4 linked regions of the Arabidopsis thaliana genome follow. The protein of the gene in region 4 interacts with the protein of the main gene of each other region in a pairwise test. Each region holds a gene or a part of one and is shown on either strand. Other genes may lie near its edges.

Evidence for each region.
Region 1: the proteins of AT3G03210 (region 4) and AT3G08600 interact in a protein complementation assay, tested with the Arabidopsis thaliana proteins (one large-scale study listed by BioGRID).
Region 2: the proteins of AT3G03210 (region 4) and RLP16 interact in a protein complementation assay, tested with the Arabidopsis thaliana proteins (one large-scale study listed by BioGRID).
Region 3: the proteins of AT3G03210 (region 4) and AT1G07560 interact in a protein complementation assay, tested with the Arabidopsis thaliana proteins (one large-scale study listed by BioGRID).

Annotation. Positions count from the first base shown.
Region 1 is NC_003074.8:2,609,406-2,616,443, reverse strand, and holds AT3G08600 (transmembrane protein, putative (DUF1191)), read right to left. Parts: upstream 4,270-7,038; 5' UTR 3,799-4,269; coding exon 2,848-3,798; 3' UTR 2,426-2,847; downstream 1-2,425. Other genes in the region: AT3G08610 (NADH dehydrogenase ubiquinone 1 alpha subcomplex subunit), read left to right, coding at 1-9; iPGAM2 (Phosphoglycerate mutase, 2,3-bisphosphoglycerate-independent), read left to right, coding at 5,207-5,371, 5,467-5,745, 5,829-6,032, 6,124-6,548, 6,851-7,038.
Region 2 is NC_003070.9:27,905,183-27,913,007, reverse strand, and holds RLP16 (receptor like protein 16), read left to right. Parts: upstream 1-3,649; 5' UTR 3,650-4,360; coding exon 4,361-5,269; 3' UTR 5,270-6,099; downstream 6,100-7,825. Other genes in the region: GDPD5 (PLC-like phosphodiesterases superfamily protein), read right to left, coding at 223-462, 549-704, 800-1,018, 1,195-1,304, 1,411-1,485, 1,689-1,872, 1,961-2,142, 2,600-2,612; RLP15 (receptor like protein 15), read left to right, coding at 6,850-7,219, 7,543-7,698.
Region 3 is NC_003070.9:2,324,255-2,333,228, reverse strand, and holds AT1G07560 (Leucine-rich repeat protein kinase family protein), read right to left. Parts: upstream 5,915-8,974; 5' UTR 5,910-5,914; coding exon 5,825-5,909; intron 5,684-5,824; coding exon 5,146-5,683; intron 5,058-5,145; coding exon 4,576-5,057; intron 4,499-4,575; coding exon 4,354-4,498; intron 4,249-4,353; coding exon 4,177-4,248; intron 4,040-4,176; coding exon 3,968-4,039; intron 3,887-3,967; coding exon 3,809-3,886; intron 3,696-3,808; coding exon 3,535-3,695; intron 3,446-3,534; coding exon 3,237-3,445; intron 3,154-3,236; coding exon 3,027-3,153; intron 2,940-3,026; coding exon 2,883-2,939; intron 2,801-2,882; coding exon 2,611-2,800; intron 2,533-2,610; coding exon 2,133-2,532; 3' UTR 2,081-2,132; downstream 1-2,080. Other genes in the region: APK1A (Protein kinase superfamily protein), read left to right, coding at 80-155, 299-615, 697-832, 935-1,077, 1,183-1,306, 1,391-1,860; AT1G07550 (Leucine-rich repeat protein kinase family protein), read left to right, coding at 6,717-6,798, 6,924-7,461, 7,643-8,121, 8,197-8,341, 8,431-8,502, 8,570-8,641, 8,735-8,812, 8,899-8,974.
Region 4 is NC_003074.8:737,437-744,254, reverse strand, and holds AT3G03210 (Pmr5/Cas1p GDSL/SGNH-like acyl-esterase family protein), read right to left. Parts: upstream 3,552-6,818; 5' UTR 3,269-3,551; coding exon 2,162-3,268; 3' UTR 1,946-2,161; downstream 1-1,945. Other genes in the region: EXPA13 (expansin A13), read left to right, coding at 280-767, 1,288-1,600; NAC045 (NAC domain containing protein 45), read left to right, coding at 5,728-5,884, 6,422-6,702, 6,796-6,818. UniProt on the Arabidopsis thaliana protein: Component of the plant cell wall polysaccharide acetylation pathway. Does not directly catalyze O-acetylation of xyloglucan but exhibits weak acetylesterase activity in vitro.

The sequences.
Region 1 (7,038 bases), 1.9 Mb from region 4:
TCCTCATGATTCGCTTTATCTCTTTTGTGTTCCTCAGGTGTGTGCTCATTCTCTCCTTAATTATTCGTTCCGCTTTCTCTGAGCTCTTTCTTAGTTTAGTCCTCTTCGATAGCCATGATACTGCTTGTATATTGGAAAATCCCCCAAAGACACCTTCTTTTGTTGCTCCCACGAGTCAAATTTCATATGCAAATCAGTATATTGGTTTTGTTGTTTCATAAGCTAATTAGTGTGCCGGTAAAGGTTCAAATGTGTGATCATTTGTGTTTTTGGTTCTTGAAATTTGAAAATGGATATGCTTTCAGAGCTTTATAAGAGAGGCCCTGTGGATATAGCTAGTGTATAAGTATTCTTAAGCAACAAGCAGATTTGTTACTACTTAGTTCTCTTCTCTGTCAGTTTGAGGCTTCAGGGTTCCTGGTTTGGTTGCTATTCTGTGTAGAGAAATGAATCATATCCTGAGTTTTGGGTACTCGATAAATTATCCTAGGCACTTCTGCTTAGTTTTTGTTTTACCACTGGAAGCTTCTGGATGGTGGTTTGTTTTATTTGTTTTTGCCCTGTCTAGGAATGATTGAGGTCCTGGTTATGGTTGGTTTATTGATAATCTTTTGGAGCTGTTTTTATTTTTTGTAATGTGAAGCTCTAGGACAGTGATGTTCTTTCTTCTCTGCATGCGAAATCCTCTCACTACTTTCTTTTCTTCTCCTCTGGCTTGCGATGTTAACTCTGAGAGTAATATGGTGATGTGATGTAGGGGCTTAAGGTGACCACTTGTGGTGACAAATAAAGTGCATTCCAGAAGAAGAAGAAGCTGGGGGATCTAGTACTTTCATTCCCATTTGATTTTCCTTGGACATATTAAAGCTTTCAGAAATCAGACCTCAATAACATTTGGTTTATCAATATTTCTCTATTCGTGATATTTTGTATGCTTTTAAGTTGCATGATACACTGAACTACTCTCTTGCTGTGTGAGTGAATAAATGAATATCTGGAAAGATGGCTCATCCTAGTACTTCTCTCATTCCTAGTTATACTTTCAAAAGCATCAGTATCATCTTCAGGTGTTGGATTTGTTGCGGGTAGGAACTGGAATTGTATAAGATGGAAGTGGAGATTGTGAATATGCATGAGAGAGTCCAATGAAGCCTTGTGATGATGAATCACATGGTTTATGACTCTGGCTAATAATGGAGGATGGTTGATGAATGAGAACGGTCAAAGCCTCTGTCTCTGCTTGCAGATTCACATGGGGTCCCCTCGCTATGTCTCTTTCAAGTGGGCTCGTCTCTTAATTCTTCTTCGAAATGGTCCACCTTGTGACGAAACCTATCTTTTTTAATTGTTTTTGCTCAAAGGAATATTTTTTATTTAATGTAACTAAATCGATCTTACCAACCAACACAACTACATAGATTCACTTCTAATTTCTCTTTAAAACGACACCAGCTTCTGCCAAAAATTACAACTCCTCAGGCAGAGAGAGTTCTTCTTCTTTCCTTTACTTTTTCATGTGTTCACAAACAAGCTCTTGATTATGATAAATTACATAATCAAATCTTTTATTTTCTCCGGTTCATTAAGATTCGATCAACCACACCAGAATATGAGCTAGGAAAAATATGAAAGACCAATGTTGAGAGGAATCTCTTTTACTCTTTAGTGAAAAAGAAGCTTGTTTTCATTTTACCGTTGAGACCTGACTTTGATGTATTTCTTTAGCTTTCTAATAGAACAGATAACAGAAAAAGAAGAAAAGAGACGAATATTCTACAACTATAGTTTCCTTTTGACAAAAACTGGCAATTATTTGTGTGTCCTTGAAACACAATTAATACCGCATTTATACATTTTACTTCATCTCTTTTTCAACCTTAAGATTTTGGAATGATGAGACAAAAAATCTCCTGGTATCTGCAGAAGTCAGAGGAGATGCTGCAATGCTAACTTAGCCATTAACGTTGTTGTCATGGCATTTTACTTGATATGAGCAAGAGGCCACAAGATGGCCCAAGCCAGGATTAACCAAGTCATGTATTCACTTTAACTCAAACTTTATTCCAAATCTGTTCAGTGCAAAGATTTGTAGCTGTGCACATTGTTACATACCTGAAGTGGCAAACGGTGCTTTTCTAAAATGTAGAATGCAAAAAATCCATATGAACGAGATGACTTTTCATATAAGGTAAGCAAACAAGACAATCCTAGATGTAAACATAAACGTTGTAACATTGCCAAGTGCAAATCATCTTCTACATATCCTACCGGATTCTAACCTCTTTGGTTCCAAAATCTATTGGTTCATCGGTGATCTTCTAATATAAATGTGAGGGTCAACAAGTTGCATGAAGCAGATAGCTGCAAAAAATGTTAAAACTCAACAAATCTCAAGAACACACTAGTTCCTTTTGAAGAATGCTAAGCTCAATGTAACAAAGTTGAGTATGGATGATAGGATGATATACATCTTCTTCAACTGTCTGCTTCTCAGACAAAAAGATGTTGAAATTATTACAAAAAGGGCAAAGCTTTACAGCAAAAGTAGTTAGAAGAAAACAAAGTGAGTGCACTCCAGAAACAATCCAACTCTTTTCATTCTCATGGAGAGACCACCAAAGTTTGTTAATTTGAGAGCACAAGAAGAAAACAATATTACTTATTTCCTTATCACCAGCAGAGAAACAAGATGAATGTGGAAGTATCAACTTGCTTACCACAAAGAAAAAATAATCAGAAAAAGAAACACTTTACCAAAAGAAGAATAATTGTAGAAGAAAAAAAGAAAAAGACAGTAACAGATGATCAAGAAGATGTGATGATGATGATGATGTACACAAAAGTATCCTAAGCTGCGTATTCGGTTTCAAGCATTGGTTGTGTACGAGTCGTAGTAGCAGTTGGTGCTCTTGTTTCACCAACCTGAGTCATCCTCAGAGCTTCCCCTGTCTCTCCAGCTCTCTCCATCTCCCTCATTTTCTCTTGCTTCTTGTAATTTCGACATCTCAAAACCAGAAACAGTAAAAGCCCCAACAGTATCAATCCACCAACCACCGACCCAACAATGATCCAAGTCTTGGAATTGGAATCAGAGCTCTTCTTCTTCTTCTTACTCTCAATCCCAGGAGGAGCTAGACTCGGAGCAGAAGCCACAGATTTCACCACCACAGAGAAATGTCCCTGATGCTCAGTCTCGCATGTGTTTCCAGGCTGAATCGAATCGCTGAAACTCGCTTCACCTTTAGAATCGAATCTAACACACTTAGCACTAGACCCTTGCGGGATTCGTTCCAGATCAGAGAAATCGATTCTGATAGGATCATTAGACACCCTTAAATCAAGCTGAGGCAAATTAAGCGCAGAGAGATTCTTAGCATCGTAAGCGAGAAGACCCAAGACAGGAGCGACATAATCATAACCAGACAAAGGGTAATACAAGTGAGAGAAATTAGCTAGGTTTTGATAAACCAAAACAAGCCTTGTCACATACGGCTTGACGATAACGCCGCTGGGAATTGAGAACTCATTAAAAGGAGTGACTCCACGTTTTCTAAAGCTTCCGCTTCTGAGTCTCATAGCAGCGAGTTTGATCCCAGTCAAATTGGAAGGAACAGTAGTAGCCTCGTAGAGAATGCCGGTACGAGGACGAAGCAAGGCTCTAAAAGAGTAATCTTGAAGAAGAGCATCGAGTGAAGAAGAAGAAGAAGCATTGGGTGAAGAAGATTGAGCAGAGAGCTTTTGTAGACGAAGAGATAGAAACAGAAGCAGCAGCAGCTGGAGACAACGGAGAAACCCCATTGCTTTTTTTTGTTTCTTTCGCCTCTGGAGCAAAAAAAAATCCCCCCAGGGCGAGTCAAAGGTGGGAGACACAGGAATAAAAAGTCGCCGTCACGTCTGAGTAGAAAAAGGGTAAAAAGGGGAAATGGTGAAGAGAAGAACAAATCGAGGAATGAGGGTTAAGGAGCAATGGAGGAAGCTGAGGAGGAGGAGGAGGAGGAGGAGGAGAGAGAATGAATGGTCGCCGGTGGAAAAGAGAGAGAGAGAGAAAGGAGAGAAGGAGAGAGCCAAAAGGACAAAAAGGAGAAGAAGAGTGTTGTCGTCAGTCCCATTTGTTCACAAAAAAAAAAATGATACAGCCTGTTCATCTGATTTTTTCTCCCTTTACACATTAACAAAAATTTAATATTTTGTTTGTTTTTTTTACTTTCCTTTTCGACCAATCATATTGATACATTGCGGCATTCAATTTCGCCGTAACAGTTGTCCGTCTACCTCTTATTGTGTTATCTGTATCTCTCTCTGTATATTTCCCATATATGTATACTGTATGATTCTTTTCTACTTTTGTTTTTGTCTTTCCTTATCCTTGGCCCATTTATCTGACTATGAACCACGTCTCATCTAGTTTCAGGCTTTTTAAGCCCAATATATAGGAACTCAACTTTTTGTCTTTGGCCCATTAGAAATTGTTTTTTAGCCTTCTACCAACCTTTTGAAGGTTCCCAGTTAATATTATGATGATATTGAATAAATAAATGTGCACAACCCTGAATTTCTTACATGAGTTTTCGGTTTGGTTTTCGTGTAATTTCAGTTTGATTTAATGCAATCTCAAGGTTTAAATAATGATTTAGATAAAAAAAAGTTACTGTCAACAGAAATTAATGTAATCCCAGTTACTAAAACTTACCCATTTTTGATCAAATTCTGGTTCAAATACCGTATAAACTATTAAGTTAACTCCGGTTTGACCTTTTCTGTATGCTATTTTTTACGTTGACCAAAATAAAAAGGTATATACAATTTTTTTTACATGGCGCACACCATGACTATTACAAACGGCATGATCCAGAACATTCGTTCATAGCAGCTAAAACTAGAACATTCGTCTCCTTCCATTTTTTTGGGGGCTTCACAATGTTTACTTGAGCCCAAAGTAAAGCCCATTAAATTGGTACCACGTCATCGCTAACTTTTCCATTTCTATGTTTCTATAAAAGTCTCATATTATGTCAGTGATAGCTCTCAACCTACCATACTTCACCACATAACCACTTCTGTCTCTGCGAATCTCCATAAGACTCTTTGAGAAGCTTTCCTCTGTTTCTCCGCTGGTAAGCTTCCGTTATCTCTCTCTCTCTCGCTTCTCAGATCTGTTCCTTAAACCTTTAATTTCTCACCGACGAGTGGATCTGAATCCACAGTTATGGGTAGCTCCGGCGACGTTAACTGGAAACTTGCGGACCACCCCAAGCTTCCCAAAGGCAAAACTATCGGTTTGATTGTTCTCGATGGATGGGGTGAATCTGATCCCGATCAATACAATTGCATCCATAAAGCTCCAACTCCTGCCATGGATTCCCTTAAAGACGTATGTTTCCTTTTTTGTTTATATCCACTTCTTTCCTCGATGATTTCGCTGGATTCCGATTATGGACTTCAACGGTTCGATTTTATTCTTCACAGGGGAAGCCCGACACATGGAGGTTGATCAAAGCTCATGGTACCGCCGTTGGTCTCCCCAGCGAAGACGACATGGGAAACAGTGAAGTTGGCCACAATGCTCTTGGAGCTGGTCGAATTTACGCTCAAGGTGCTAAGCTTGTTGATCTCGCCCTTGCTTCAGGGAAAATCTATGAAGATGAAGGTTTCAAATACATCTCTCAATCTTTTGAGAAAGGCACTGTGCACCTTATTGGTCTTCTAAGCGATGGTGGAGTTCACTCTCGTTTGGATCAAGTCCAGGTACTTAATTCTCATCTGTTACACATTTCTTTTGAAACGTTGGCGTTTGTTAATTTTCTTTAATTTGGTTCTGTTTGGTGCAGTTGCTGCTTAAGGGTTTTGCAGAACGTGGTGCTAAGAGAATCCGCGTCCATATTCTTACTGATGGTCGTGATGTTTTGGATGGTTCTAGTGTCGGATTTGTTGAAACTCTTGAAGCTGACCTAGCTGCTTTACGTGCGAAAGGTGTTGATGCTCAGGTTGCATCTGGTGGAGGTCGAATGTATGTCACAATGGACCGTTATGAGGTAGGCAATGCTTGTGAGATCTTGTATGAATGTCATGCCTTGTCTAGTCTAGTTTAGAAATGAATCCAATTTTTGCTTTCCTTCCTTGCAGAATGATTGGAGTGTTGTTAAACGAGGTTGGGATGCACAAGTCCTTGGGGAAGCTCCCCACAAATTTAAAAGCGCTCTTGAAGCAGTTAAGACACTGAGGGCAGAACCTGGTGCCAATGACCAGTATTTGCCTTCGTTTGTTATTGTTGATGATAATGGAAAGGCTGTGGGTCCAATTGTTGATGGTGACGCAGTTGTTACATTCAATTTCCGTGCTGATCGAATGGTCATGCATGCAAAGGCCCTCGAATACAAAGATTTCGACAAGTTTGATCGCGTACGTGTCCCTGATATACGTTATGCAGGAATGCTCCAATATGATGGAGAGCTTAAGCTTCCTAGCCGCTATCTTGTTTCTCCACCATTGATTGACAGAACTTCTGGTGAATATCTGGCACACAATGGCGTTCGTACTTTTGCTTGCAGGTTAACTTTTAGAATCTCTCAAATCTTTAGTTATTGTCTTTGCCATTTTCTTCTATTGCTGCTTCCTGGTTTATTTATTTGCTGGAATTGGATTCATAATTGAAACTGTGATAAGAGTAATCCAGTCTTCTTTACTTGCTCGGTAGAGGTCTAATTTATGATTGGGGGTTGTTTGTTGATTAAAACTAGTGAAATCTCCTAGCTCACTTTTTCTTGATGAGATTATACCGTTGATGGTTAGTTACATATAATGAATGAATTCTCAGCTATTAACCTATTAAAATTTTATTTCACTGAAACAGTGAGACTGTGAAGTTTGGCCATGTAACCTTCTTCTGGAATGGCAACCGCTCTGGATATTTCAATGAAAAGTTAGAAGAGTACGTTGAGATTCCAAGTGATAGTGGAATATCATTCAATGTCCAGCCAAAGATGAAAGCACTGGAAATTGCCGAGAAAGCAAGGGATGCTATCCTTAGTGGCAAGTTTG
Region 2 (7,825 bases), on a different chromosome or scaffold from region 4:
AAGTGTGTTCCAAGATTTACAAAGTCCTTTTTAACCTTTGTATTTAATCTTGTGAAGTAAACAATTACGATTTAATTAAGTTGTGTCTTTTTTCTTTTGTTTGATCTTTAAGACTCCTCTGCTTCTTAACAACTGTGTTCTTCTTCAGAATAATCATTGTAACTTTATTCAATACAATTAATTGCAAACAATAGGATTACTGATAGGTGTTTATGTGGAACTTCAAGCCTTTGCATAAGGGAGGACCAATGAGGCAATTTGACTAAGAAGCTGTCGTGGAGACTTGGAGGTATCAGGTAATGGAGATGTCCATTCTTGAAAGTTATGGAGGCTGCCTGTGAAATCAGTGAAGAGTCCATCAACTCCAATCTCATTGATCCAGTAGTCGTACTCCTTATACGGGTCTTGGCTAAAGTTATAGTGTAAGAATTCGTGTTCATTCCTGTACGTATAGGGATGCACCTGAGTTTGTAACAGAAGAACATGGTCAGGAAGTTAGCATGTGTTACTGACTCTCAGTCACCGGATGAATCTTAAATAAATCCTACCTGCAGATTGTGTGCGTGAGCTCTTTTGACCAAATCTGTGGGGGCTAGCACATAGTTGTTGTTTACCGGAACAATTGTATCCTTCCATGGTCCGATACCCACAACATATTGCTTGATGTATTCGAAATACGCATCTGATGTGATCTCTGCATATGTCTGCTTAGATTTGCAAGAAAGATCAATCAGTCACTTTTAATAGAAGCAAAAGAACTTTCAGGAATCATAAACAATACGACGAGCAGAGCATTGACCTGGTTAGTGTCTTGCGTTGGCATGGTAACATCGTCTATTAGAAGGACTTTCGGCGAGTCTGTCAAGTTTGATATGTACACGAGTGAAGTTGGGGCAAATGACTGAATAAATAGTGGTTTTTTCAACCACTTCTTGGACAAATACGAGCCTCCATACCCATACTTCTTAAGTGTCTCCACAACTTTATCCTCAAATTTCTTACCACCAGGCCATTTGACCTGCAAATATATAACAGTGATAGAAGCAAAGGTTAATGACTCACCTGCAGTGGGAGTGAAAGCCAAAAAGAAATCATTTTCTGCAAATTGAACCAAATGGTATATGTGGCTTTTTAAAAGTCACTCTAAAGGATTTCAGTAAGAGTAGAAGTCAAGCTTTTAGGATTGTGACTCACATGCTGGTTCATTAAAACTGGATTTTTAATCTCAGGATATATTCCAACAACTCTTGGAGCATCCCGAGCAATGGTAAGAAATTCCTCAAATGTAATGATAGGGTACATTCCTGAAATACAAGCAAGATATGGGCATGGTTAAAGATTTCCTGTATTATGCAGTTCTTACTTTATATCTTCCAACAGCCAAAATACAGGAAAGAAAGGCGAGCAAACCGTTGTATTGCTGATCCCGAAAAGCATATCGCTGCTTTATACGTAGTTGCTTTAGTTCTTTAAGTGTAAAATCAACTACAAGCAATGAAAGAGGAATCACTTGTTAGCAAATCATTCAGACTCAAACAAACCAACTTGAAGCTTTATTAGATGCTTCTCTAGCTGTTATGAGATTATGTGCGAGAGATATTTTGAGCAAATGACTCTATCCTGAGACCGAATCCAGCAGCATGCATTGACTCAGACCTAGAAACAGAAGAAGAATTGATGTAACGTACAAGTGAAAAAGCCAGTAATGTTGAATCCTTGGACATCATATGTCCTTTTACGATCTGCAAACTCCTTGTGGCTCGCAACATTGGTTGTTTCGTCGAGAATACAATCATGGAAACATATGAGCACACCATCTTTGGATGATAAGATATCTGTTTCTATGAAGTCTGTGCCTTCTTCAATTGCTTTCTATCATAAGAAAAAAAAAATGTTTTACTTCTTATCTTCGGAAATCATCAAAGAGAAGGAGATTGATCAAGAAAGATCAACAGTATACCAAGTATGCAGCTGTAGTTTCTTCTGGGATCTCTCCATTGGAACCTCTGTGTGCGATGTTATAAGGACGTGAAGTCTGAAGTTGAAGCTTGACAGTTTTGGGTCCTTTAACAGGGAGAGGGTGCAATGTCCTCCCAGCAGCACACACAGTAAGTAGAGATAGCCATATCAAGGGTAAGCATCCTGTAAGATCACCAATAACCACTTTGTATTGACGTTAACAGAAACAGAGCCAAAAACAGAACCAAGACTCAAACTTTTTTTAGCTTAACAGGAAACAAATCCAGATAGAATGAGAAATAAGCTTTGGTCTCTCAAGACCCAAAAAATTTTCTAAGCTTATAATGAAACAAGAAACAGAAACAGATCCAGATTCAATAAAAGATTAAATTTTTTTGTTTTTAGTGTATAGTAAAAAAATGAAACAAATCCAGATTCTTACTTTGTTCTCAACCTATTCGCTTCTTTTTTTTAATTTACTATTCAGTTTTACGAAGAAAGGTGAAATTAGACAAATTTCACCAAAAAAACACAAGCTAATGCAATAGAAAGCAATCAGAAGCACAGAAAGATTTCATGCATACAAAACCCAGAAAACAAGAACAAAAAGAAAAGGTTGAAATTGAGAAGCTTTACTTACTTGTAAGAATCATGGCGATCTGGTAGATCGATCGGATTGCTTGTTTGATTCTCCTTATTTGTCTCTTATCCCACTCTATCAGTTCTTGTCCATTTATAATAAAGTGTTTCTAATGATATACATATATGATATATCACTCTTACTCCATTGACCTGTTTCTTGGCTTACCGCTCTTGGGCGAATATTATATCTTTCTTCTTCAATTCACGTTTTCCGAATATTCCATTTGTTTTTGGTTGACAAAGACTTTTTAAGGTTGCATTTTATATTTCTGAATAAAAAGTAGTAATACTACCAAGCAACGCCTCTCCATGCTAAAATTGCAAAGAACATCCTCCCATCTTTTATATTCCCCCACCAAAAAAAAGCGATGCATTACCAACTTTTTTTAATATTGATCCTCACCATCGAAACCTCATTATGCGTCTCGCCGGAGCTCGCCGGAATATACTTTTTGACTCCCAGTCGAAGGTCCGGTACGTCTTGATCGCTGTTCCAGCTTCATTTCTAAGGTCTGGGTCGACCCAATTGCTGTTTATAACTCCGATTGATGGACAGCGACGGTGGTAGCCGCCGTTTCGTGAGGATGTAGGGTTTTTATTTGGGCGGAGACAAAAATAAAATGTTTGCTGGAAACGGTGGCGTTTTTGGTGTTGGCGGTAACATCCATTGTTTCTGACGTGGCATATTATGCCACATAATCAATACAGTTACCGCAGAGAGTTTAAACTTTAAAGGTTAGATTTTTTTGTTCATATAATGCTTTAGTTATTCACATGTTTAACAGAATTCAAAGTTTATAACTTTATTCACTGAATGTGTAAGCAACACTTGAATCATTTTGTGGTATATATGATTGTGAGTAGTTGTTTTAAAAAATCAATTCAAAAATTTAATTCTTGGGCCTGTGTTGCAATAATCTCATTCGTTAATTTACTTGGCTACTGACAAGCGAAATATCATATGCTAAACCACTCATTTTCTAGAGAGACTTTGACTTGTATGCCCAACGAGTCTTACCATACTACTCTAAGTGAGTTAGTTAGACGCTAAAGATATGACTTTTCAAATTTACAGATATTTCTTGAAGAACTTGGTGTTTTCCGCTGGAAATTTGAAATTCTTATAGAGGTGGGGAGATGTTTGCTTGAACTCATATTCACATATTGCGTTTGAGTTTCTTTTGTTTCACTTTTTGTCTCATATTGATATTTGCTATGGAAGGGAAGGTGTTTTTGGGCCAATACTTGATATGGATTATGTTACTGCTGGGACAGATACATGGATCCAAAAGCTGTATTCAGAATGAAAAGAACGCTTTGTTGGACTAATGACACAAAGAGTGATTACTGTCTGTGGAAGGTCATTGAGTGATCGCACTAGCGGGCGGGTTATCAAGCTTTCCTTTGGTAAACCTTTCTTCAAAATCTAACTCACTTCAAGTAGAGTTGGGAAGTTCTTGGAAGCCGAAATTTCAGTTGAGTGTTATTTCACTAGGAGCTTGCAATTTGGTGAAGGTTCCTCATTTTCCTATACCAGAAGGATTTGCGTCATGTTGATCTCTCTAACAATAATAAGTTTCCATCGTGGCTGCTGGAGAACAATACAAAACTCGAGGCTTTGCTTCTACAGAATAACTCTTTTACAAGCTTGCAGCTACCGCAATCTGATCATAATCTGCTTTACCTGGATGTTTCAGTTAATGGATTTGATCAACTCTTTCCTCAGAACATTGGGTGAATACTTCCTTGCTTACATTATATGAATCTAACGACTAATGGTTTTCAAAGAAATCTACCATCTTCTCTGGGTAACATGGAAATGATTGAATTTCTGGATATATCTCACAACAGTTTCCATGGGAAGCTACCAAGAAGTTTTTTGAAGGGTTGTGATTCCTTGATAGTCTTGAAACTATCACATAAGAAACTAAGTGAGGAGGTTTTTCCAGAAGCATCAAACTTTTTTTCAATACTAGAGCTGTCTATGGATAACAATCTGTTTACAGGAAAGATTGGAAGAGGTTTGCAGAGCTTGAGATCTTTGATTATGCTTGACATTTCGAACAACAATCTCTCAGGTGTTATTCCAAGTTGGTTTGACCAACTTCAAGACTTACATTCGCTACAGATTTCTAACAACTTGTTGGAAGGTGAAGTACCTATATCGTTATTCAACATGTCCAGTCTTCAACTACTGGCCCTCTCTGCAAACAGTTTATCAGGGGACTTACCTCAAGCCATTTCTGGATATGGGGCATTAAAAGTGTTACTCCTGCGAGACAATAATTTATCAGGGGTTATTCCAGATACACTGCTAGGGAAGAATATCATTGTGCTTGATCTGAGAAATAACAGATTGTCTGGGAATATTCCGGAGTTCATCAACACCCAATACATCAGAATTCTTCTTCTCCGAGGGAATAATTTAACAGGCAGTATTCCTCGCCGGTTGTGTGCCGTAAGAAGCATTCACCTCCTGGATCTTGCTAACAACAAATTAAATGGATCCATACCTTCATGTCTTAGGAATGCATCACTTGGTTTGGGGAGAGGAGGATACATTAGACGATTATTTATAATCATTACGTTTTTTCTTTGGGAGCACCTGTCAGTACATTTTTCAAATCTCTGCTCGTGCAAGATGGGTTTGCTATCGATTATGAGTTAAGCACCCAAACGAAAATTGAGTTTGCAACAAAACACAGATATGATGCCTACAGGGGTGGAAATCTCAAATTATTGTTTGGACTGGATCTCTCAAAAAATGAGCTGAGCGGTGAGATCCCAATAGAGTTTGGAGATCTTCGGAAACTACATGCTCTCAATCTATCTCACAACAACTTATCAGGAGTATACCAGAAAGCTTTTCAGGACTGAAGAATGTGGAAAGCCTTGATCTTTCTTTCAACAGATTACAAGGTCAGATCCCACCACAACTAACGGAGTTGAGCAATCTTGAGGTCTTTAATGTCTCATACAACAACTTTTCAGGAGTCATTCCACAGGGAAAACAGTTTAACAGCTTTGACATGCGAAGCTACATAGGCAATCCTCTTCTCTGTGGGCAACCAACCGACATAAGATGCATTGGTAATACCTTTCAAGAAGCAGATTATGGAGTGGAAGCTGTTGAAAACACGATCGACATGGTTTCTTTCTACTGGAGTTTTGTTGCAGCATACATAACAATCCTTCTTGGGTTACTCGCATCACTCTCATTTGATTCTCCTTGGAGCAGAGTTTGGTTCTACATCGTCGATGCTTTGGTTCACAAGGTTAGGAAATTGTTATGGTAAAATACTGCAGGTGACAAAATGTTTCTTACGTGCTAGTTTCATTGTCGTCCCCTTCTGTTGTTCTTCTTCTCAAACCTCCTGCTTTGTTTCACAAAACCAGAACATAGCTTATGTTTTGGTTCCTCTGTACTGTCTTTTTGTCTTTGAATAAAAGTAATGCCTCAAAACATATCTTGGACTGGTTTGGTGGTTGGTTTAATTCATAATATACAGTAACACATGAATTTCTTCAGGAAACAATTTCATCGTAGAAACAGTACACATTACGAAAGACAAATGAATATAAATACATTTAATTTCCATTTTATCTTATGTTTTACCGAAATAATTTTATTTTATACAACTAATTTATTTCATCTATTTGGATGACTAGTTGAAAATTATTTGTAAAAAAATAAATTTGTTTTCTTCGAAGCTGCGAGAGTTAGTCACAGTTGACTATAGAGATTTTCTTCGAAGACAAAATGACGCCAACAAACGACGCCGTTACAGATCAACCTCTGTTTCAGACTTTCAGGAGTAACTGATCCAAGAGAGCCTCCTCATCAACTCCGTCAGCGTTGGGCTTCCTCAAGTCTAGTGGTTGTTCAACAGAATTCAAAGGCCATGACATCAAAGAGAGGCATTTCAACAAATATCATTGACATATAACAAATATCATTGAATGATTCAAAGGTACTATAACTTATAAGGCTAAACCAGTCAAAATAAACGAATGTGATCACTTGAATCTTAAGTGTTTAGGTAATAGAGACTTCAACATTGTAAATATAACCAATATTATTCGTCGTTGACCTTGACGTTATTCTGTTTTCACCGGATGTAGAAATTCTTATAAACGTGGAGACACTTGTATATATTTAACTACATTGCCTTGAAGTGTTTTCATTAATCTTTGAGTTTGAGTTTCATACATTTTCTTCTCTTCTTTTTTTCTTCCATCACATTTTCAATGGAAGGGAAGGTGTTCTTGGGTCACAACCTGATATGGGTGATGCTACTGATGGGGCAGTTACATGGATACAAAAGTTGTATTGATGAAGAAAAGATCGCTTTGTTTGAGCTCAGGAAACACATGATCTCAAGAACTGAATCCGAGTCTGTTCTCCCTACTTGGACCAATGATACAACGAGCGATTGCTGTCGATGGAAGGGCGTTGCTTGCAATCGTGTAAGCGGACGGGTGACCGAGATTTCCTTTGGTGGACTGAGCCTAAAAGATAATTCTCTCCTAAATCTTTCTTTGTTGCATCCCTTTGAAGATGTTCGAAGTTTGAACTTATCAAGCTCCAGATGCAGTGGCTTGTTTGATGATGTGGAAGGTATACCATACTGATTACTTTAAAACATTTTTCTGTTGCATGCTCACTTTGATATTTTCCATGTGTGGACTAATTCTTATTTCATTGTTTTAATACAAGAAAGTCCATATCTTCTGATAATACAGTGCTTAGCTTTTCTCTGTCTCTGCATTTACTTGCTGAGAAATGTTGCATTTTGCAATGACATCAAACGTTCACTTACATTCTAGTCCCATTTGCATAGAGTTCCTCTCTCACTATCTCCATTTGCATGCATCATTGCTCAGCATGTAAGTGAACTATGTTATTTTCATATACTTTGTTAACAAGATTCTTGTTTGCAGGTTATAAAAGCCTCAGAAAATTAAGAAAGTTGGAGATTCTGGATTTGGCTTCAAATAAATTCAACAACAGTATATTTCATTTTCTTAGTGCCGCTACATCACTCACAACTCTGTTTCTTAGGTCCAACAACATGGATGGCTCTTTTCCTGCTAAAGGTATCTCTACATTCTTAACTAAATCATACTATCTAGCGTGACCTTTCTATCGATCATGGATCATTTGTTGGCTTGATATTGCTGTAAAATTTGTATGTCTTTAATTTTAGTATGTAGCATTCTTTTA
Region 3 (8,974 bases), on a different chromosome or scaffold from region 4:
CTCTGAAATTACTCAATCATGGGGATTTGCTTGAGTGCTCAGGTCAAAGCTGAGAGCTCAGGTAAACACATTACTTCAAATGCTTTTTCCTATCACAAACTATGAGCCTTCTCGTAGGAATCTTTTGGCTTCTGTTCCTCTGTTATTCTGTCAAGGCAAAGTACTTAGATTTGTTGTTTCATTACCTTAAAGTTTTGATTTTTCCAATCTGAGGTTAGGGTTTTAGGTGTTTCTGTCAGATTTGGTTCGAATGTATGACGAAACTAATACTTTTTTTGTTCTTATTTGGTTGGCTTAGGAGCGAGTACGAAGTATGACGCCAAAGATATAGGAAGTCTTGGGAGCAAGGCTTCGTCTGTGTCTGTAAGACCAAGCCCTCGAACTGAGGGTGAGATCTTACAGTCTCCAAATCTCAAGAGTTTTAGCTTTGCTGAGCTTAAATCAGCAACCAGGAATTTTAGACCAGACAGTGTGCTTGGTGAAGGTGGATTCGGTTGTGTTTTCAAAGGATGGATTGATGAGAAGTCTCTCACTGCCTCAAGACCAGGCACGGGTTTGGTTATTGCCGTCAAAAAGCTTAACCAAGATGGTTGGCAAGGTCACCAGGAGTGGCTGGTAATAATGCTATAAGTTAAAATATGCCAATTTTGGTTCTTGTTTGTTTTTCATTAATCTTCAGTTTTGATGATTTTGCAGGCTGAAGTGAATTACCTTGGTCAGTTTTCTCACCGTCACCTTGTGAAGCTGATTGGTTATTGCCTAGAGGATGAGCACCGTCTTCTTGTTTACGAGTTCATGCCTCGGGGTAGCTTGGAGAATCATCTTTTCAGGAGTATGTCGTCCTTACTCTTAAGTCTAATCCCAGGCTGAGGTCAAACTTAAAGCTTTGTTATGACGTTTGTGAATATTCAGGTTTGTTTTTCTTGGGTTACAGGAGGTTTGTACTTCCAACCGTTATCTTGGAAACTTCGGTTGAAAGTTGCTCTTGGTGCTGCAAAGGGACTTGCTTTTCTTCACAGTTCCGAGACAAGAGTGATATACCGAGATTTCAAGACTTCTAATATCCTTCTTGACTCGGTAATTTAAACTTTTACTCATTGTTAATAACTTGATATGATTGCCATGACAGAACTGCAAAAGTTTTAAGCTTTATGATGGAAAATTTCTGGTACATAATCTCAGGAGTACAACGCAAAGCTTTCTGATTTTGGGTTGGCTAAGGATGGGCCAATAGGTGATAAAAGTCATGTCTCTACACGAGTCATGGGTACACACGGATATGCAGCTCCTGAATACCTTGCAACCGGTAAGTGTCGGATCCTTTTTGGTCAAATCTTTGTTTTCTGGAATTGGCTTCTTCATATGAATGATCACTTTACATTTTCCTTAGGTCATCTAACAACAAAGAGTGATGTCTATAGCTTCGGGGTTGTCCTTCTGGAGCTGTTGTCTGGTCGTCGAGCAGTGGACAAGAACCGCCCATCTGGAGAGAGGAACCTTGTGGAGTGGGCTAAACCATACCTCGTAAACAAAAGAAAGATATTCCGAGTCATTGATAATCGTCTTCAGGACCAGTACTCTATGGAAGAAGCATGTAAAGTGGCTACTCTGTCTCTGAGATGTCTCACCACAGAGATTAAGCTGAGACCAAACATGAGCGAGGTTGTTTCGCACCTCGAACACATTCAGTCTTTAAATGCTGCTATAGGAGGAAATATGGATAAAACAGATAGAAGAATGCGTAGGAGAAGTGACAGTGTTGTCAGCAAAAAAGTGAATGCAGGTTTTGCTCGACAGACTGCTGTTGGCAGTACAGTTGTTGCTTATCCTCGCCCATCAGCCTCGCCACTGTATGTTTGAATAGGGTTAAACACGTCCTGGGTCTGTGTTCAGTGTTCTTGGTAAAACATTTGCAGGACATGAAGTTCCTATATCATGTCCTGAGAATGGAATCTGGATGTACAGTTTTTGTCTCTCTTAATGTAAGAATTCTGTTTAAATACAGTTCACCTCTCATTACACTACGACAAACATTTAATTTTGATCTTTGTAACATGAGGATTCATCAACATAATGATAAGTTCGTTCGCATATCTGCTTGTTATGAATGCTGCAAAGTAAAGAGTAAAAGACTAACGTGCCTTGGGGTTCACATCTGTGCCAAAGCTTAAGTTAATGTCCATGGATCTCGATGTGTCTATGTCTCTTGTCCTGTTGTTTTCAGATACCAGACACTCCTTCAGCTCATGAACAACATGGGACATGTTGGGTCTTTTCAAGGAAGAAGGATTCACACATGTCATTGCTAATTCAAGAGCTTTCCATGCAGAACCAGAGTCATAGACCCCTTGAAGTTTAGGATCCATAATATTGCTAATGTCTCCTCTAGTAAGCATAAGTTTCACCCATTCTGCTATGTGAGGCATGTCGCGGTTATGATCGATCACCGGTTTGTTTGTAATAATTTCTAGCAGTACAACACCAAAACTGTAGACATCACTCTTCTCAGACAACCTATTAGTTTGGTAGTATCTGCAAGACGAAATGATTATGATTCTTTTGTTTTAACCGGTAGAGAAGATAGTTTTCAGAAAGAGCTAAAATTCTTACTCATGATCAAGGTATCCAAATGTTCCAGCAACAAGTGTAGACACATGAGATTCATCCCCAATGGGAAAAGATCTAGAAAGCCCAAAATCTGCAAGCTTAGCTTGTAATTGATCGTCCAATAGTATGTTAGAACTTTTTACATCTCTATGAACTATCAGCGGTTTGCAACCAATATGCAAGTACTCCAAACCTGTCTCCAAAGTTCTTTGGTGTTTAACAAAACAATAGAAAGTTTGATCAAGTGGTGTTAAAAGGAAATGAAAATGACGAACCTGACGCTGCATCAACAGCTATGTTTAGTCTATCAACCCAGCTAATGATGGAGCTACCTGCATGTATTAGCATAGACATGAATGTCACATATCAACACGATGCATTTCTGTCATGATATATGCATGAGAATATACATGTGTTACCTGAAAAATGTTTTTTCAAATCGCCATTGACCATGTACTGGTAGATGAGGGCCAGATGATCTTTTTCATCACAGTATCCAACAAGACTTACCAGATTTGTGTGGTAAACCCTTAGAAGAAGTTCTACCTATCCAAATATGTACAATATATAATATACGTCAACTTAGCCTTACAAAAATGTATAAAAATTCATAAGGGTGCCAAAGAAACCTCTGTTTTGAACTCTTTATAGCCTTGAGCTGATGATGGAGAGAGTAGCTTGACCGCTACTTCTTCAGTACCATTTATATAACCATGATAGACCATTCCAAATCCTCCTTTACCCAAAACCCTTTCAAATTTCTTTGTCATGGCAAGAACTTCGGCATATGTATATCTTTTCTTTATTGTTTCTATTGATTGTTGGCTTGGTGATGGACCTAGAACCATACACAAATAATTAGAAATCACTTTATAATTATGTATGCATACAATAATATTTCTGGTTTGATGAATTTGATACAGATACCTTTTCTGCTTGATGAGCGTCTTTTAATACAAACAAAAAGCAGAGCGATCATTGCTATTATAGCAGCCAAAGAAGCAAGTGATGCAACAACTGGTAACATGATGCTATTTTTCTTTTTGTTGCATGAACTGGAAAAACATAGGTTTGGATTTCCCTGAATGCTAGTATTGTAAACAAGCTAATCAAGTGTTAGTGAAGACATACTGCAAATTAAGATATCATATTTCAATGACCATCAACTATTGAAGACTAAATATAGTTGAGAAGATCTTACTTCAACTTCAACCCATTTTTCACTTTGTTGAGAAGAGCTTGAGGGACTGATCCACTAAGGTTGTTTCCGCTTAAGTTTCTGCCTAGGTAAAAAATAAACATCAACAGACTCGGATAATAAATTGGCAATGTGATTCATATGAGTGACCAAGTAACTTACATGACTAACAATGATTTCATTTTGGCTAGAAATTCAGGTACTCCACCTGTTAGATTATTATTTGAAAAGTCCCTATCATATGCAAAAATGAATTAATTGATTATATGTTTGGCCTTGATAAACAGAGTATTCAAGTAAAACAGAGTATTCAGGTAAAACAGAGTATGTGTTTGACCTTGATAAAAAATTGGCAATGTGTTCATACTTACAATTTTTTAAGCTCCGTAAGATTTTGGATCTCAGGAACTATAATTCCAGTTAGTTCACTTGAGGACAAGTCTCTGGTGGTAATTAAAGATCATAACACACATTTAAAGTGTAAGATGTTACGAAATGCAGAGCTTAACAAAAAACTGTTTTAATGTTACGAATAGCCATGGACGTACAAGGAATGGATTCTTGGTGGTGTAGACATATTGGTGTACTCGCAGGTAAGACCATCCCACAATAATTGTTGAGGAACACATGGATCTCCTTGCCAACTAATTCTACTTAATCCATAGCTTGTTTCTATGCTCTTGATAGCAAGGACTAACACACAATAACAGAATGAAAACACTTAAGTATATACAAAAAAGTATATATATACTCAGATTTTGCTGACATACCGTCATTTGCATTAGTTTCAGACTGCGGAAACTCCACTGTTATAAAAGCCTCAATAGCATTGAGGAGGGGAGGGAGAGTTGATTTTGGAGTTTTTATTAGTTGCAAATGGCATGTCCCTCCTTCACATTTAACTGGTGATGTATTGAATAGAGTACCCACTAGAAACTCGTCAGGACTAACAGGTCCATAGTTAACATCTTGGCCTGCGCTAATGTTGAATTCCCTGGTATCATTTTCCCTTAAGGATTGGATCTCAGCGACGTGGAGGTATGCATAAACTAAGTCGTCAGGTGTTTCCAAATTCCAAGAAATGGTTAATGGTGAACTCACATTTGCAGGTGTGGCTGCCGTAACCACTACGTCTTCCGGTATGTCATAGCCGTTATCATCAGAAGTGTTGACCGTGAGACTTGTTCTTAACAGTCTCCATTCCGGCATGAAAAATGGACTCCAAAGACGATCATGGACATCTTCTGGATACCTGAAGAGAAAGGATGGAAAGTATTACCGAACAGTGTATCCAGTGGAAACCAATCTATTCATTACCAATTGGTTTTGAGTTGGCTTACCGAACAGTTTCTTTGGAATCAGTCAAATGGACGCGGAACAATGTCTTGAGGGAACCAGATTGAGGAATATAAGTATTATTTCTCAATGGTCGTAGTTCTAAAGCTGATATTAGCGGCGTAGTTGTTCCCGTCTTAACAAGACAAATCTGCAAAGAAGTTGACCTTGGTATGTGAATGATTTCCGCCCTTGTTCCGTTTACATTTCTTTGCAAATCGACCGTGGTCCATATATTTGGACCAAGATAAAGGTCGAACTTTGGGTGTGTGTTAAGATTATCGTAGTTTCCATAAGTAAACATGGCTACGATCAGATAGTTTGTGCCTTGTATGACGATAAGAGTATAACAGTTTCGTACTCCATCTGGAAAATATCTCAAAACCGTGTATGGCTTTATATACTCCATCCCCGGAACATTTTGAATCTTGCCGCTTTTTCCACTTTTGATGAAATCGGCGTCTGATGTGAATGTTAACTTTGTTAATGGTTCGGTATAAGGAGACTCATCGGCTTGCAACCCGCAATCCAAACTGATGAATCCTGATAAAGGCAAAAGAAAAAAAACAGAGAAATAATTTGGTAAAAAAATAAGTTTGGAAACTGAATTAATGACTAAATTGTGATAGGAAACATGTTTAGTCAAAGTTAAAAGAAGAAAACCTGAAACAAAAAAAGTTATACCTTGTTGATCTTGTGCTCGAAGAAAATCGGAAATGCCTAAAGACAAAACTAGGAAGGCCAATAGAAGTCCACGGAGGTTTTTCATTTTCCCACCTCTGTCCAAAAAAAAAAAAGGATTACGAATTGCCAATGTACTTGCAATATAAAACATGCCAAATCAAACCTTTGGATATAAAAAACGGATGAATTGTTAAATAATTATTTATTAACTTATATTTCTGCTTGGGGCGGATCATAACGGGAAATATGTCAACGTTCACATACCAATAACAATAAGCCACCTATTGAGTTGGACCGATCTTCTAACCAAATTCGAAATAATTTGTCTAATAATTTGATTATGGTAAGACTTTTCTCAAGTGGAATTATAAAATCTGACAAGTGTGTGTCATGTTTAAATTTTATAAAAAAGGTTTGCAAGTGGAAATTAGTAGAACTGATTGATTCTAATTGGTTATCATCAAGCACACCTATAGTAGATTAACCTGAGAAAATGAGTTATTACCGTGTGTGTGAAGGGATGTCATATTCATATATGGCAAAGTCACCGATCGTGTCAGAATCAAACCACGAATATAAGCAAAAGTGAACAAATGAATCGAGATTTTTAAAATATAGAGAGTATATAACCTGGTTGCATATTTTTCATTTCAAAAATTTTATAATCAACCACTAACGTCTTGATTTATTTTATATGGATATTATACCAGTGGTTAGCTGTTATTATTCGTTAGATAAAACCATGGCAAAAGTTTAAGTTTTTAAAACAAAATTTATACGTAGACGTCACCATGATTAATTCCATTTGCAGCTTATAACACTAAAAATTTGTCCATTTCAAAACTTTGGTAGTAGTAAGTTTTGTTAGTTGTGAACGAAGAAATCATCAAAAATGGACACTTGCACCAGGCTTCTGTTTGCTGCGTGTGCCACTTTATCCATCTTACATCTTGTTCAATCTCAGAATCAACAAGGTCTTTTTATCATCTGTTTTTCTTTTTTACAATAATTTTGGAAATAAACCATTCTAAATTTTTTTTTGAGATAGAACTTTATATAAGAAAAACAATATGTACCTCTCCCTTTTCGGTCTTACCAGGATTCATCAGTTTGGATTGTGGATTAGCTTCTAACGAGTCTCCTTACAACGAAGCAAATAGCAATCTGACGTACATATCCGATGCTGATTTCATTCAAGGAGGAAAAACTGGTAATGTCCAAAAAGACTTGCTTATGAAACTCAGGAAGCCATATACGGTTTTGAGATACTTTCCGGATGGAATCCGAAATTGTTACAGTCTAAATGTCAAGCAAGACACAAATTATCTAATCAGGGTTATGTTTCGATATGGAAACTATGACGGGCTTAACAATTCTCCAAGATTCGACCTCTATCTTGGTCCTAATATTTGGACAACCATAGATATGGGGAAGTCAGGTGATGGAGTTCTGGAGGAGATCATTCACATCACAAGGTCTAACATCTTGGACATATGTCTCGTCAAGACAGGGACGAGTACACCAATGATATCATCCATAGAGTTGAGACCCTTGCTATATGATACTTATATTGCTCAAACCGGTTCCTTGAGGAATTATAACCGGTTCTATTTCACCGATTCAAACAACTATATACGGTACCTTATTTTCACCTTATGCTTTATAAATAACCAAAGTAGATTATGAGCAGAAACTTTAATCTCCACAAAAACTTTAATATTATTGTCATTTAAGCCATCTAGCGTAAACCAAGATTATACAGTATTAATTATTGTTATTAGTTGATGTAAAGTAAAATATATAACTTGATTTTGGCAGTTATCCCCAAGATGTGCATGATAGAATTTGGGTGCCGTTGATATTACCAGAATGGACGCATATAAACACAAGTCACCACGTTATTGATTCTATAGATGGCTATGACCCACCACAAGATGTACTTAGGACCGGCGCCATGCCCGCTAATGCCAGTGATCCAATGACCATTACCTGGAATTTGAAGACGGCTACTGACCAGGTTTACGGTTATATTTACATCGCCGAGATCATGGAAGTCCAGGCCAATGAAACTAGAGAATTCGAAGTTGTGGTAAATAATAAAGTTCATTTCGATCCTTTCCGTCCTACCAGATTTGAAGCACAAGTTATGTTCAACAATGTACCACTGACATGCGAGGGAGGATTTTGTCGTCTGCAACTTATAAAAACTCCGAAATCGACTCTTCCACCCTTGATGAATGCTTTCGAAATTTTCACGGGCATTGAGTTTCCTCAATCAGAAACAAATCAAAATGATGGTATGTTGCCTTTGAACAAATATGCATATAGCTTTTTACACGTATTATTTCTTGCTAATTTGCACCATGTTTCAGTCATTGCTGTAAAGAATATTCAAGCTAGTTATGGACTGAACAGAATCAGCTGGCAGGGCGATCCATGTGTCCCTAAACAGTTTTTGTGGACTGGCTTAAGCTGCAACGTAATTGATGTGTCCACACCACCAAGAATCGTGAAATTGTGAGAGCATTTATTCTAACTCAATGTTGTTAGCAAATCTTAAGCCCTGAAATGTATCTGATGTGATATGTCTTGGATCTTCCAAACAGAGATTTGTCTTCAAGTGGATTAAATGGAGTTATACCACCTAGCATACAAAATCTAACTCAACTTCAAGAACTGTACGTATCTCTATAACAAAATGAAGATGTATTCAAAACACTTGTTAACAATTTTTTGTTGCAACAGGGACCTGTCCCAAAACAACTTGACTGGTAAAGTGCCTGAATTTCTAGCCAAGATGAAATATTTGTTGGTCATGTAAGTGTTGTTGAAAGCAAAATAAGCCATTTTTATCATAATGTTTTACATTTACTAACTAGATGATCTACTGATTTGTCTATATATTCACAGAAACTTAAGTGGAAACAAACTTAGCGGTTTGGTTCCTCAAGCCCTTCTTGATAGAAAAAAGGAAGGATTAAAGCTATTGTAAGATTTCTTTTTGAGATGATCTTTATTGATTTACTACGTGCCCACTCTCGTTTCTGAAATTCACTACGTTCTTTATTCTTTAGGGTTGACGAAAATATGATTTGTGTGTCTTGCGGTACAAGATTCCCAACAGCTGCGGTTGCGGCATCTGTTTCTGCA
Region 4 (6,818 bases):
GGAGAGAGTCGGATGGAGACACATGAACGAAAGGTAAAGTTGACCCAAAATTGTTACTGAAGTCCTCACTTTGATCACGAGATTTGGGTTTTGTGATTTGGGCCTTACCCTAACCCATTTCGATTGAGGGCATTTTAGTCATTTTATATAAACCGACAAACCGGTAAAAGCAAAATGTTTTCCCACTAAAAGACTGAAAAAAACACTAAACCAAAATTAAATCATCAAAAATCAAAATCTCTAAAATCAAAAATTCGCATTTTCTCTCTCGCCGGAGAGATGCAACGGTTTCTTCTACCTTTACTCTTCCTTGCACTATCGCCGCCGGCGATTTGTCATTACTCTTCCTCAACCTCTTCACCTTCTTCGTCCTCCGTTTCTTCCGACGCCTCAGAATGGCGTCCAGCTCGAGCCACCTACTACGCCGCTACGAATCCTCGAGACGCGGTGGGCGGTGCGTGTGGATACGGAGATCTCGTCAAATCTGGGTACGGTATGGCTACTGTTGGTCTAAGCGAGACTCTGTTTGAGCGTGGTCAGATCTGTGGTGCTTGTTTCGAGCTCAGATGTGTTGATGATCTCCGTTGGTGTATCCCTGGAACTTCAATTATACTCACCGCTACGAATTTCTGTGCTCCTAATTACGGATTTGATCCCGACGGTGGTGGTCATTGTAATCCACCTAACAAACATTTCGTGCTTCCGATCGAAGCGTTTGAGAAGATCGCTATTTGGAAAGCTGGGAACATGCCGGTGCAGTATCGAAGGTGCGTTTCTCTCCGCTTTTTCCCAATTTGTTTCGCGTTTTGTTAAAAAAATGCGTTTGCGGTGGTGGGGAACGCGGTTCTGCTTTTAGACGCCACTATCGATTTAAAAAATCCGGCGATGCTTTTGCTTTTGTGTCTTCTTCGATATCCGTGTGCTTTATTATGTGAGATGGGTTTACCCTAAATCTCTTCCTCAATATGCAATTTACTTTATTGCCCCTAATCGTTTTATCTTAGTGTGTACAAGATTCTGAGAAATGGTAGATAGGTTTGCTCATCATAGTTGAGTAGCTTTGCTCTCATTTTCATCTTAGCCATGAGAGGACTGAAATTGACTGTTTCTGTGAAGTTCTAGGCACAATGCGGTAAACTACTATTTAGGTTCATGATACAATGGATCATTAGATCCTTTATTAGTTTGTGAAGTGTTTTGGAGCTGAGCCTATAAATAGTTAGTTGCATATCACTTAAGTTATGAGTTATGACTTACAACCATTTTTGTTGGCTTTTACCAAAACAGGATCAACTGTAGAAAGGAAGGGAGCATGCGGTTTACAGTCGATGGTGGAGGCATTTTCATTTCGGTTTTGATCACCAATGTTGCAGGGTCCGGTGATATAGCTGCTGTGAAGATCAAAGGGTCGAGAACCGGGTGGTTACCTATGGGTCGTAATTGGGGACAAAATTGGCATATTAATGCTGATCTCAGGAACCAAGCTCTCTCATTTGAAGTAACTTCTAGTGACAGGTCAACCGTGACATCTTACAATGTCTCCCCGAAAAACTGGAATTATGGACAGACCTTCGAAGGGAAACAATTCGAGACTCCGTGAGACAGAGACGGACACATTGAGATACAATCCCATGATTCTTTTTTTCCGGGTCAGAATTTTTTGATGGCAAGTATATCGATCTTGGTCTAAGGTTATCTTTAGGGTTGAAAAGGAAAGAACTTGGGTCAGACTTTTGCATTTCATAGTTCTCTCTCTCCCACGCATAGGTACAAAAACTCACCAATGTACTAAGAACAGTGATCACACAAACATCACTATTGTATCTATTTGTTTACATTACTAAGGAGCGAAAGCTTCCTTCAAGTGCTTAAAGCTAATGATGAGTACTGAGTCTTATCGTAAAAAGAATCCAAAAGGGTACTGTGATATAACAAGAATCAGAATAGCTAAAGGTTATAACTTCTCAAAGTCAAAAGATATTAAACCTATTATAGCCATGAATGTAAGTTCACTTACTTCTCCAATGTGAAGATCACTCAGGCCAAAAGGATCACCGTGTGTTGTAAAATTCCTATGAACATCCCACTTCTCTTAAAACTCTACAAGAGAACCCCAAACAAAATAAAAGGAAAAAAAACAAAAAAAAAACGTGTCAAGAACTCATAAAGATTGATGAGATTCAATAAGCAACGCATTGAGCATGACATGGACAGCGGCATCATAGACCGCAGAGTCATAATGCATCCCGTCAAGTGTACATTGCGGTCCACAGTTCCAGGTAAACGACTGGATATCAAGCAAGATAAGAGGACCACCCATTTGACGTAAGATCTTACTCTCCCCGAGTGATCTATCATACTCATGCCACACCGTATCACTCATCTTCTCCTTCTTCTCATCCGTATTCAACATCCCGTTGATCAAAACCGGCATCCCAATCCAGAACAGATGCACAGATCTACCGGAGACCGACCCACCTCCTTCTTGCTCCTTTGGCGTAAGGGGCACTAGAGACTCCACATGACTACTCAATTGCCTCAACCTAAAACCAAAATCTGAAGCATTGTTCACATGAAGCATATGCCATAACCCAGTTCCCATGATCACAACATCAGGATACTTTTTCATCTTCTTATAAGATACCACAAGATCATCCAAATCTTTCTCATAAGGAGCCCAAACAAAATCAAGCTTCATCCCAATCTCCTTAACCACAATGCTGTAATCACTATGTCTCCTAAACAAATCCCCTCTAACCGAATCCATAGCCTTGGAATCCGAACCCAAAACAAGATTCAACAAAGACAAAGCCACGAATCTCGCCTGAGAATCACCAGCAACAACAACCCACGATCCATTCAACAAATCCGAAACATCGAACTTATCCAATTTCTGAAACTCACAACTCAAAACTTTCCTCGATTTCATCCAATCCCAGTTCTTCACGAAATAATCAAGCTTTGTTGAGCCATTGTTCCTACGAACAGACTCCGGATTCGGTACCGGTTTAACATCCCAGACAATCTGATTAACCTCGTTGATACAAGAGATACGATGATCGTAGACAACAACAGAGGAAACAGAGGCAACGATGTCGGAAACGGAAGGGAAATAAGGCGTGAGATGAACACAAACCGCGAGAGAAATAAACAAAGCGCCACTAAAGAAGAGCATCTTGTTCCTGCTCAGATGCCAACCAGCCATTGCCATGGGAACGAAGAGGACGAAACAAGCTGCTAATACTCCCAAATGAATCGCTCCTAGCATCTCTCAGACTCAGATTTCGGAATCAGACACATCTAGATTTCCATCTAGACAAAACCAATTTCATCCAGATTCGAATTAACTCTTTTTCTCTATAATTTAAGAAGAAGCTAGGGTTACGGATTTGGTTCGGTGAAGAGAATCTATCAAAATTGAAGGTGAAGATGAAAATTTGGTGAGATTGAAAGGAACAGAACAACCGTAGGCTTCTTCTTCTTTGGTTCGATTTTTTGTATTTAAAATTTTCCATATTTGTAAGATCTCCATTAATTTATGATCTCATCTCTCTGACTCTCAGACATGGTTCGGCTCACTTTAGCCTCATTATGGAACTGGGAACTATTCTAACGTGCGCTCACCGCTGGGAATCACGTGACCGCTTTTAGATTAATCATAAGTTCCTCGGCCCACGGTCAAGCCCATTTATTCACGTGACCGCTTGTAGATTGATCATAAGTTACTCGGCCCACGGGAAAGCCCATTTAGCCCACATCGTTCAACAAATCAATGACACTTTCCTTATGTGTATTTTCATACGTACGATTTCATCTTGGAATGACATTAAATTCTGTAGATCCGCGTTTTCATCATATAATAAATGGAGAAAAAATCATTATAATCATTTAGACTTCTTTTTTTATAGCTAAAGTTACATGTAATTTCGTGATTTTTCTTCACGGTCTTAAGTCTTGGGGATCTTGTAGACTCCGAAATTTCATAATAGTTTCAACCGATTTTTACATATTAACTTTTAATTTATTACTTTCTCATTCTAACCAAATTTATATATTTTTGCCAATGAGGCAATGACCCAATCTAATGGTGGGGCTAATCATAGGACTAATATGTTATTAGTTTATAGAATGTGTGTGAACGTTAAAAAGAATTAAGTAAAGAACCAAAAGATGGATTCATGTGAGGGAAATGTCTCAAGAAGGGTATGTACTATGTACACATTGTAGATATATTAAAGATATATATATATGTGTATATATATGGTGATACAAAGAAGAAAGAGAATATGGAATTTGGAATAATGAGAGAAAAAGGTTATGACGATGATGAGAAAGGCTGAGAAGTGATTCTCTTGGGTTGGCCCATCAATAGCTTCCAAGGATTTATTCACATGTTCACAACTGCTGGATCCCACATGATCATACATATAACCATCTCAAAACCATATGCTTGTTCAAATTTTATATATATATATATATATATATATATATATCTGATCGATTTCATTTTTCCAAATTTTAGATAAGTTTTTTTTTGATAAATCAACTTTAGATAAGTTTTATAGTCGCCTACACCAAATGTGACTGTATGTTCATATGATTATATATAGCTTTCGAGTTTCGACCAAAATGATAAATACTCAAACTATAATTTCTTATATCCATAAGTCTTTGGAGTACGTAATTGGACTTTCGGTCAATAGTTTTTCTATATTGGAACAAAAGTTTTGGTATTTTATATGACGACACTAAATATGGAGAGGAAAGGATTTCTGGCCACTCAATTTTTTAATTTTTGTTTCAAAATCTCCGAAATTTCAATTTTTTTTCCCGAATCACACAACCTTACATTAACAGCCTAATACACTAGAAAATATATGAGCATTAACTGATGGAACGACCATAAAATGGAGTTCATCTTTCTATTCGATATACGATATACAATATGAATATGAGAAACAGAAATAGACATATATAAATGACAAAATAAAATGTAAAACACTACTAGTATAAATTTACAACATCAAGATATCTATTTTTAAAAAAGATCTATGTACGTAGATCGGATGGCAATGTGAAGGGAAACAAAGGATTCGCATGCAAGTGGGTACAAAAGAGACAGTTATTTCAGTTAGAAGTGCCGCCAAATAACAAAAAAAAAAAAGAAAAAAAAGAAAGAGAGATTGCAACAGTTTTGGGTTAACCCAAGATTCGATCTCCCATGCAACCAATAGAAATCTGACAAGTGCACATATATTCCAGACCGACCACTCTCGGAGAAGCATGGGATAATATAATTGATGAAGAAACACGGTTTACATTTAGGGCGGCAATTTTTGATTAATTATTCCGGTTAAGTACCAGAATCTACACGTGATCATGTTATTTGTTAGCATTTTAATTATCTATCAATATAAAAAAAACACTTCGAACAATATTATATATGCGTCGGACAGAAATTGATGAATTGTAAATATTAATTAAATTTTGAATTTTTTTAACATTATATGTTATTTTGGGATGGGGACCTTCCCTTTATTCACTTTTGCATCTCCCTTTTTCATTACCTCTTTATATATAACCTTGCTCTCCAAGCCCTCAACGAACACAAAACATATACCTATTCTATAATCTCTTCTTCTTCCTCTCGAGTCTCGATTCTCTCTCTTTCTTTCTTTGAAATTGATTCAAACAAAATAACTTCAAGAACAACTTGAGATTATATATATGGCTCCTGTCTCGTTACCTCCAGGTTTCCGATTCCATCCAACAGACGAGGAACTAATTACTTACTATCTAAAAAGAAAGATCAACGGTCTAGAAATCGAACTTGAAGTTATCGCTGAAGTTGATCTTTACAAGTGTGAGCCATGGGACTTACCAGGTAATATTAATTTGACGTTTCCCTTGTTTATGCATGAGATCCACTTAATCAAATATGATTTAAATTTTTTGAAAAATATGATTTCTGATCAACATTAATTACGCGATTCTACTTTAGTTATCAAATTCTGCATATATTATTCATTTATATGGATTTAAATTACAACATCTGTAATCGTTAAGAATTATTATTATTTGTCTAAAACCCATAGGAACAAGAGAGATTGAAGAAAAGAATAAGAATATAGCATTGATGAAGAAACCCTAAATATACTTTAGTCTCTACCGGGAAAATACCACATGTGCAATTACACATACTAGTTCTGTAAATAACTATTTTATTATTTTTTTCATCATTTTCACCAAATCTTTTAGGAATTAAAATGTCAAAATAATTTTTAAAAATGTTTAAATATAAAATTGTAACTCATGAAAACATGAATGCCAGCTTAATTGAATCATAATTTTAATTTACGTCATCCAATATCTGCTGATAAATTACGTTACTTAAAGTAATCAATTATGAATTCAATAATAGGGAAGTCCTTGCTTCCGAGCAAAGACCAAGAATGGTACTTCTTCAGCCCACGAGACCGGAAGTATCCCAACGGCTCAAGGACAAACCGGGCAACTAAAGGCGGTTATTGGAAGGCTACAGGTAAAGACCGCCGAGTTAGTTGGAGAGACCGAGCCATAGGAACCAAGAAGACATTGGTTTACTACCGTGGGCGCGCGCCACATGGCATAAGAACTGGTTGGGTCATGCACGAATATCGACTTGATGAAACAGAATGTGAGCCTTCTGCATACGGCATGCAGGTTCGTTGCTAACTAACTGGATTCGACTACAATCATTTTAATATTGTACATAGCATTAGGAAAAACCATCTAAATTGAATTTTATATTTGTAGGACGCATATGCACTTTGTCGTGT